Linked DNA regions of Nothobranchius furzeri. The protein of the gene in region 2 binds, or shares a complex with, the protein of the main gene of each other region. Links are inferred from orthologs where the notes say so. Each region holds a gene or a part of one and is shown on either strand. Other genes may lie near its edges. The genes, in order: lsm3 and prpf4.

The links.
Region 1: prpf4 (region 2) and lsm3 share a complex: the UniProt entries of both Homo sapiens proteins name them as parts of the precatalytic spliceosome. The link is inferred for Nothobranchius furzeri from reciprocal best matches to the Homo sapiens genes PRPF4 and LSM3.

The regions. Positions count from the first base shown.
Region 1 is NC_091743.1:73,197,395-73,201,967, reverse strand, and holds lsm3 (U6 snRNA-associated Sm-like protein LSm3), read left to right. Parts: upstream 1-1,603; 5' UTR 1,604-1,669; coding exon 1,670-1,690; intron 1,691-2,891; coding exon 2,892-3,002; intron 3,003-3,448; coding exon 3,449-3,544; intron 3,545-3,892; coding exon 3,893-3,973; 3' UTR 3,974-4,482; downstream 4,483-4,573. UniProt on the Homo sapiens protein: Plays a role in pre-mRNA splicing as component of the U4/U6-U5 tri-snRNP complex that is involved in spliceosome assembly, and as component of the precatalytic spliceosome (spliceosome B complex).
Region 2 is NC_091746.1:69,549,078-69,552,900, forward strand, and holds part of prpf4 (U4/U6 small nuclear ribonucleoprotein Prp4), read right to left. Parts: intron 2,675-3,823; coding exon 2,488-2,674; intron 2,372-2,487; coding exon 2,284-2,371; intron 1-2,283. UniProt on the Homo sapiens protein: Plays a role in pre-mRNA splicing as component of the U4/U6-U5 tri-snRNP complex that is involved in spliceosome assembly, and as component of the precatalytic spliceosome (spliceosome B complex).

The DNA.
Region 1 (4,573 bases), on a different chromosome or scaffold from region 2:
AGAAGTGAATGCATGATCTTGAGGCAGTGTCATGCAGCCTAGTACTGTGTCAGAGGCATCTGTGGAGAGAAAGTAAATAACCTTGGAGGAATAGCTCCTTCATCACGTTACAATGCTTAACTTTCTCACAGCACTGTTGAACTTTTTTATAGAAATCTGCTGAACTTCAGATCACTGAGCCAGAAGGGCATGGAGCTTGCAGAGCAGCCCACCAGTTTCCATGCTCCTGTCCTGTCACCAGACAATGAGTCATACATAAGGGTTTGGATAAAAATAAATAAATAAATAAATCATGTGTCCCAAACTGCACCTGCACACATTTTCTAATGAATGGTTAAAAGCAATAAATCAGTGGAGAAAAACAAGTGATTCTGAAATGCACTGCCAAGTTCTTGCAACTTCGACATCTCATGGGGCTTAAAGGAGATGTACAGTTGGATGTCATCTGCATAAGATGGTTGGAGATTTCTTTGAAGGAGCTCAGGATGTGCTGAAGAGGGAGCAGATAGAGGAGGAAGAGTAGAGCGCCCAGCACAGAACCTTGTGGGACACCATGGGCGAGGGAGGTGGTGGAGGACCCAAACTTGGAGACGGCCACAGAGAAGCACCTAACCCTAACCCTAACCCTCAGACAGATAAGAGGAGAACCACTTCAGAGCAGATCCTGATATGCCTACCCAGTCTCTCAGCAAAGCTGCTGACACACAACCTTCTCCAGAAGTTTCAAATTGAAAAGGAGAATAGAGATTGGCCTGTAATTGTCTGCACAGAGACATCAGATTCTGGTTTCTTCAGGATCGGTTTACTGACTGCAGCTTTTAATGCAGTTGGAACCACTCCAGTGCTCAGGCTGCCGTTAATGATCAGACGCAGAGACTGACCCAAACACGGAAAGGCCTCCTTCCACAGACGAGGTGGCAAAACATCGAGTGGAGAGCTAGACGACTTCTGCCCTGAGACAAGCTTAGACAACTCAGAATAAGAGAGTATTAAAATAGCTCAGGGTGGACTGTATTGGAGTAACTGGATCAGGGTCTGTAGATGAACCAAAAATAGCAGCTCTAATGGCAGAGACTTTGCTAGTGAAAAAGTTGTGAAAGTCATCACATTCTCCAGCAGCAGTAGAAAAAATGATGCCAGAGTCCTGGTACACTGAGACAGAGTTAAGCGTTTTATGGAGAATTTTTGAATTGTTACAGTTTGTATCAATGATGTCAGCAAAATAGCCCGTTCTAGCGACCCTCACAGCATCAAGATCAAGATACTCTAAACATCTAATGGGAGACCTGTAGGTCTATGCCCGTTTATGTGCAGCCTACAGTTACAACAACCGGCGTACAATTTGAAAACAGATCAAGCGGGATTACTAGTAACTTTACAAGCCTACCTCATGGAATTCTATATTTAAATATATTTTAATTTATTTTGTTAAATTATATTTATATTTTAATTATCATGCCATATATTGTATCAGCTTTTGTGAAAAAGCTTGATAAAATGCGTTTTTTAGTTGGCTAAGCACCTTCCTAAGTAGAAATTAATGCAGTGGGGGCGAATGGAGACCCAACTAAGATGGCGGTCGGCCACTACGGCAGCCGTCCACGGGGCGTCTACGTATATATGACTGCGACCTCAGAGCCCATTGAGGCACTAGGCCAGTTAAAGCATCATGGCGGATGAAGTGGAGCAGGTTCGTTTGGTTGCCGTGTTTATACACTTTTGTTCGTTTTAGCGTCTGTGCAGTTGCTTGACTTCGTCGCGCATTATTAACTTTATGCATTTCTTTAATCTAAGGATACAAGCGTAGCATTTTGCTAATTGCTAACACGGTTTAATTGTGTTTAGGCCTGTGAAACCGGTTAGCCCACATTCACCTAGCGTTCAGCTCATCCTAAAATTATCAGTAAGCGCGTAAAAGTTACCAGATTCTCACAAATGAAAGATTAATGAATGACTTTTCCCGTTATGTTTGTCTAGCAAATTGGACAAATAATTAATATTGAGTTTTCTTTAACTATTGTGTTTAGTTATTAACTTTAGTAAGTAACGAGTCTCAACAAACTGTTTGGATCAAAGTTTATGATTTAAAATGAATATTTCTAAGCTGTAATGTGCAATTTAATTGAAAATAAAGATATTAGTGACAAAGATACCATAGTGTTAATAAGTCATGAGACGTTTAATTGGTTTGATCAGTACTTCTGCACACTCTCTTTACATTTCCTATCAGATGGTTTGTTTTCTAAGCCCTGGTCTTTAAAGGCAAGCCTTAACAAAGCTGTACAGACACAACAAAAATGAATAAATAACAATATAAAGACTCAGCTAAACAATGTTTGGATATTAGTGATGCATCGATATAAATTTTTGGACCGATACTGATATCCGATATTAAGATCACTGTTATGGCCGATAACCGATATTTGCCGATACCGATATACACTGACATTAATGCTTCCAAAATCTGCAGATTTTATATAGAATGAAAATTATTAAAGCTGGATTTACATTATTGTGTACACACAACACACACATTTACGCTTCTGAGGTGATTACAATCACTGTCACATGATTAAACAAATACACATCACCCCCCTCACCCTCTGAAACTGATAAACAAATGGAGACGAGATAGAAAAATTAATATCGGCCCGGTTTTATTTATGGGACCAATACCGATATGTTTAAAAATGACTAACATCGGCCGATACCGATATTGATGCCGATATATTGTCCATCCCTATTGGATATTTTTAATCTAGATTTTTAAAAACATTTCCGGTGAGTGTAAAAAAACCGACTAGTTTTGTTTTTAAATGTTTGCTATTTGATGAATATGCCAATAAAAAATGGAATCCGTACATTGATGATTATTTTAATGTGTTCCACAGCAACCACCTACCAACACGGTGGAGGAGCCTCTCGATTTGATCAGGCTCAGTCTGGATGAGCGGATCTACGTGAAGATGAGGAATGACCGGGAGCTCCGCGGTCGACTACATGTACGACACACACACACACACACACACACACACACGGTTCAGAAGATCCAGTTTTTTCACAATACTTGCTGATAAAACAGGTAAAAAAAATAAGACTGAAAATTCTAATGTCAGTAAAACAACTTAAAAGGTGAAACTAATCTATGAGACAGACTCATTCCACGCAAACCCAGATATTTCAGCCTTTATTTGTGATGATTATGGCATTCAGCTGATGAAAACCCCACATTCATAATCTCAGACAATTAGAATATTGTGTTCAGGTAAATATTCTAGTGTCAGACTTTTATCAGCTGATGAATCCAGAACACCTGCAGAGGGTTCCTGAGCCTGTAGATGGTCTCTCCATCTGAGCTTGATTACTGTCATAAATGGACTTTTGCACCATATTCTCTTTTGTCCAGTTTCACCTGTATGTCCTAACTAATGTTTGCCATCTGGTCCAGGCGTATGACCAACACTTAAATATGATCCTGGGGGATGTGGAGGAGACGGTGACAACAGTGGAGATTGATGAGGAGACGTATGAAGAACTTTATAAGGTCAGTTTTTATGAACAAACATAGAAAAACCTCTCTAGCCACATTTCTACTGAACAGCTTTTGTTTTGGACTCTTTGCTGTGTTTGCTTAGTGGCAAACTTGTGCCACTGTTGGGTGATGCTTAAAGATCCATCAGATGCAGAAACGTTAAACGATGTTAACTTGTCACTTTAACATAACGCTGAATAGATCTGCAGAAAGTAATAAAACAGAATTTTAAGATTCTACGAGGTTTCATTATTGTTCATGATCAGAAACTCAAGTTTTATTTAAATTTGACGGTACTTTAGTGAGTATTTAAATAAAATATCTGTTATTTAAATGTTTTTACTGTATTTGTTTCTTTAGTCTACCAAGAGGAACATCCCCATGTTGTTTGTCAGAGGAGACGGCGTTGTCCTCGTAGCTCCGCCTCTCCGAGTCGGCTAAGCCCCCCATGCCTGACAGGATGATGTAACTGCTTCTGGGAAGTGTCCATTTTTGTAGGAGAGTGTTATAAATCTTCATTTTCCTTATGCTAGACTGTTATTTCATCTTTAAATTTCATGTGAATCAGAGGCTCTTCTCTAGGGCAAAATGTCTGAGGGGGGAAAAACCCAGGAAGTATGATGTGAGGACACTTTTTTTTATTTTTTGACACATTCTGGGATTGTAAGAATCGGCCTCAGTAGATACTATTATTTTTAGTAGAAAAACATTTTTCTGAATCTTATCAGTTCCGATTGAGTCATTCCAGTGTTTATAAAGACTCGGGTCCCCTTGTGAGCGAAATGTTTGTTAAATTGCTCAACTTTTATGTTGATTTTTAGCTAAATGATTGCATTTGAGTCCCAGAACATTCTTTTTCTTTTACATGACGTTAGTGTTTTATGATTTAGTCATGCTCAGGTTTGAAAATTTTGTTTTTATGTGGTTGAATAAAAAGTGAAAATAAGAAAGTTATACTTTTTATTTAATTTTTTTTTATTCAACAGTTTTTGGCATACAGAGTCGTAGAGGCTAAAGCCTACAGGTATTTCACATTAAAAG
Region 2 (3,823 bases):
TCGCTGTCATTGTCTCCTTGGGCAAGACACTTAACCCATGTTGCCCGCTGGTGGTGGTCGGAGGGACCGGTGGTGCCAGTGCTCGGCAGCCTTGCCTCTGTCAGTGCGCCCCAGGGCAGCTGTGGCTACATTGTAGCTCATCCCCACCAGTGTGTGAATGTGTGTGTGAATGGGTGAATGACTGGTTTTGTTGTAAAGTGCCTTGAGGGGTTCCAGGACTCTAGAAGGCGCTATATCAAATACAGGCCATTTACCATGAAACTGATCTAGCCATGTGATCTGAAAGCTCTTTGAATCACTAAGGAATGTTTATTAAAAAAAAATGTTTTTCTAATGTTCAAGTACACATCAGGTGGTTTATTAATAGTGATGTTGTACTTGTACTACTTTGGATACACTGTCCTCGGGCTCCAGCTATGTTTTATATCGATTGTATTAAAACAAAGAAAACAATCTAAAGTTGTTTTTAATTTACCGGTCCGGCCCACTTGGGACTAGATTTTCCTCAGTGTAGCCCCTGAGCTAAAATGAGTTGACACCCCTGGCCTAAGCTATCATTTGTATGCAGATGATTGTCAGATCTACCTGACCTTAAACAACCCAAATGCTCTCACAGCCAATGCCTGACAAAGGTGAAGAGCTGACTATCTGACAATTTTCTAAACCCAAATTAGTGAAAATCTGAGGAAAGTCTCATGGATCTTCAAAGCTTCACACTTGCTCTCTGCTTTGGCTGCTCTCAGCTATGACATGAAGCAGTTTGTGACCAGCCTTGGGGTCAAATTGGGCTCTGACCTTTCAATGGCCTACCAGATTAATGCTGTGGTCAGATCTTAGTTTTTCCCCATGAAGTTTAAGATTTTAACCTTCGTTTTCAAAGCCATGAGCGCTAGCTTAACTAGCAGACCTGGTTGATTATGTGCAGGTCGGCTGACTGTCTGTTGCTTTGTGTTCCCTCTATGAGACATGCTTTTGTGTTTGCTGCACCAACCCTCTGGAACGCTCGTGCGACTGGCGCCGTCCCTCACTGATGTTAACTCATCACTTAAAGCCTACTTTTATGATCTGGCATTTCAACACCCATGAACTATAATTGTTGCAATGTGTTTTATTACAGACTATGTTTTATGCTTTTTTGTGGTTTTATTGTTGATTATGTCTTTATTGATATGTGTACTGTGTTTTAATTTGTACAGCACTTTGGTCGGCTGCCATGCTGTTATTAAATGATTTTATTAATAAATTTGATATGGTATTAAAAGAAATTCAAGAAAATTCTGCAAACAGGTACGCAAACCCTAAAATGTAAAAAAATACTTTTGATATGAATTAAAGATCGCTACGCATAAAATCTACCAAGAAGAAATGCGGTTTCAGGCATGTGTGTGGGTGTGTGTATTCTAACAGACAGCTGTACCAGAGAATAGGCGCTAAGGTTAAAGTTTGACAAGAATAAATACATTTTTATGCATTTAATATACTGATTTATGTATAATTTCTCAAGACAGCTTGAAGAGAGTTAACTTGTAAATGTTTTACAGGAGAAAAAAATATCGATATATATCGTATATCGGAATTCATCAAAAATATATTGAGATATAAGTTTTGGTTCATATCGCCCAGCCCTACCTTGAGTCACATAAAAATGTGACTTAACGTAATACATGCAACAGCCCCATCTAGTGGACAACTGTTGTTTCTGTGCATACCTGTGGTTATCGTCCATTTATCGTTATCAAGGTGAAATCCTCAATATATCGTGATATTGATTTTAGGCCATATCGCCCAGCCCTACCATCAACAGTGCAGACTCAGTGCTGTGTCCAGCCCTAAATCCAGGCTGAAATGTCTCATCAGGGAAGTTCTAAAAATAATGCTCGAATACTGAAGATGATCCTTTTTTCGCCATCTTTCTGCAGTCCTACATTCAGACCTACATGCCTGAGTGGTCTCACAGAGCCAAGGCTCCCTTCTTTGTCTAGGTTTCCTAGACTTGGGACACACACACCCACACGCACACACACACACCTATATCCAAAATATTCCTGCTGATGGAATCAAAATTAAAGTCCTCAGCGTTGAGAGACATTGAGTTCAACCTCTCTTCCTCTAAAGTTAAAAGCTCAACAAACTCTTAACTCTTTCTGCATTTAAAGCATGCCAACATCAGCCACAGGAGGAGGGCAAGGCAAAATTCAATCACATAAAACAGGTGAATGGTCTGAAAATGTGGGAGAGACAAAGTACTGAAAGGTACTACATAGTACTTGTATAACTGCTTACCTCATCATGTGACCTTTTGACTCTCTCTTCATCCTTCCTGGACTTTTTTAGCGCATCAGGTCCAACAATGGACAGAACACTGCGCAGTCTAAAACAACATAAGACTCAAATCAGCTTGTAAACAAACAATTTGATTGGCTGAGTGTAAGCTGACCACGAAACAGTCAGATTATCAAACAAATGCACAAATGTTATTTGTCCCACCTCTCGCGACGGTCAGCTGGTCCCTCTCCAAACAATGTAATTGGCTCGCCTAGTGCTCGGAGGCCGGCCTTAACTTCGGTGTCATCGGTGGACACAGTGATCTGCCGTGCTCGTCTGCGCCGCTCAAACTCTGCAAGCACCTCCTGCTGCCGCTCACTGACCCGCTCTTCCATCTCCAGAGTCTCTCCTAAACAAAATAACGAGAAAAGTCGTGATTTAAGCAAAACCTTTTTTTATAATTAATGACACTTGTATGTAGTAGAAGAAGAAGAATTAGTCTTTTACATTGCACCTCTCAAGATAAAAATCACAAGGCGCTTCACAAGAACAAAAAGTAATTAAAGCTGCAAGCAGCGTCGTTCGGCCCTCGCAGCTCTGCGGCCCGGTGTACCCGGGCACATCCGCGGAACAGAAACGTTGACCCCAACATCAGAAACTGCGAACGGTCTCCTCGTCTGCACTTCACCCTGACTCAGCATCTCCTCTGAGCCCACCAATAAATTACACATCTCACCACTAGGGGATACTCTATATTTACCACACTGGTGGTGTCATGACACAGACCAAGTTTAATGCTATTCTGACCACGGTTTTTGAAGTTATTGAAGGTTAAAGTTATCTAGGGGCCTCCCCATCCCCACACATTTCTCTCCTCCTGCTCCCTCACATCATCACACAAACATGCACATAGGACCTTGAGGGGTGGACAAGTCAGGGAGTGCAGGTATGGACCCCATTTCCACATTCCTGTGGCAACCTGCCCCTTAATTTTATTTGCACCTTAAACACTTCCACCGACGACATTCCACGCAAACACACACTTAGGGCCTTGGGAGTGAGCACATTCAACAGCATTTGGCAGGGGGATTTCTTGGCCTCATCCCGAGTGCCGGTGCCCACTTCCAATTTTAAACTGCACTTAGACACTAAGGGCTGTGGGTGCAAGTGAGGTGGTGGTGGCATCAGCTGGCATAGGCCAGATGATGCCCGCACTGCCCGCTCACCACAGCCATGGAATACACCTCATCAACACTCACTAAAACCATATTGGAGCAGGCGGAGGGAGACTAGGGGTCTTAGCACACCTCTGTTGTCACTTGGCTTCCTGGGGCTGGAGGCTAGGAGGGAGATCTGGCCGTCTGGTTGGGGTCTGGGGTGGTGGGTTGCTGTGCTCAGCATTGGGCGGGGGAGCCTGCTCATCAGCACCCCAGCAGAAAGGGTCAAACTCTGGTAACCGGTGATGGTTGTACCCTATGTGCAGCAGTACCGGGACCAGAGTGAATAGGGTGTGTATGGGGAGCATGAGTGGGTGTCCGGCATGCAAGGTTTTATGGAC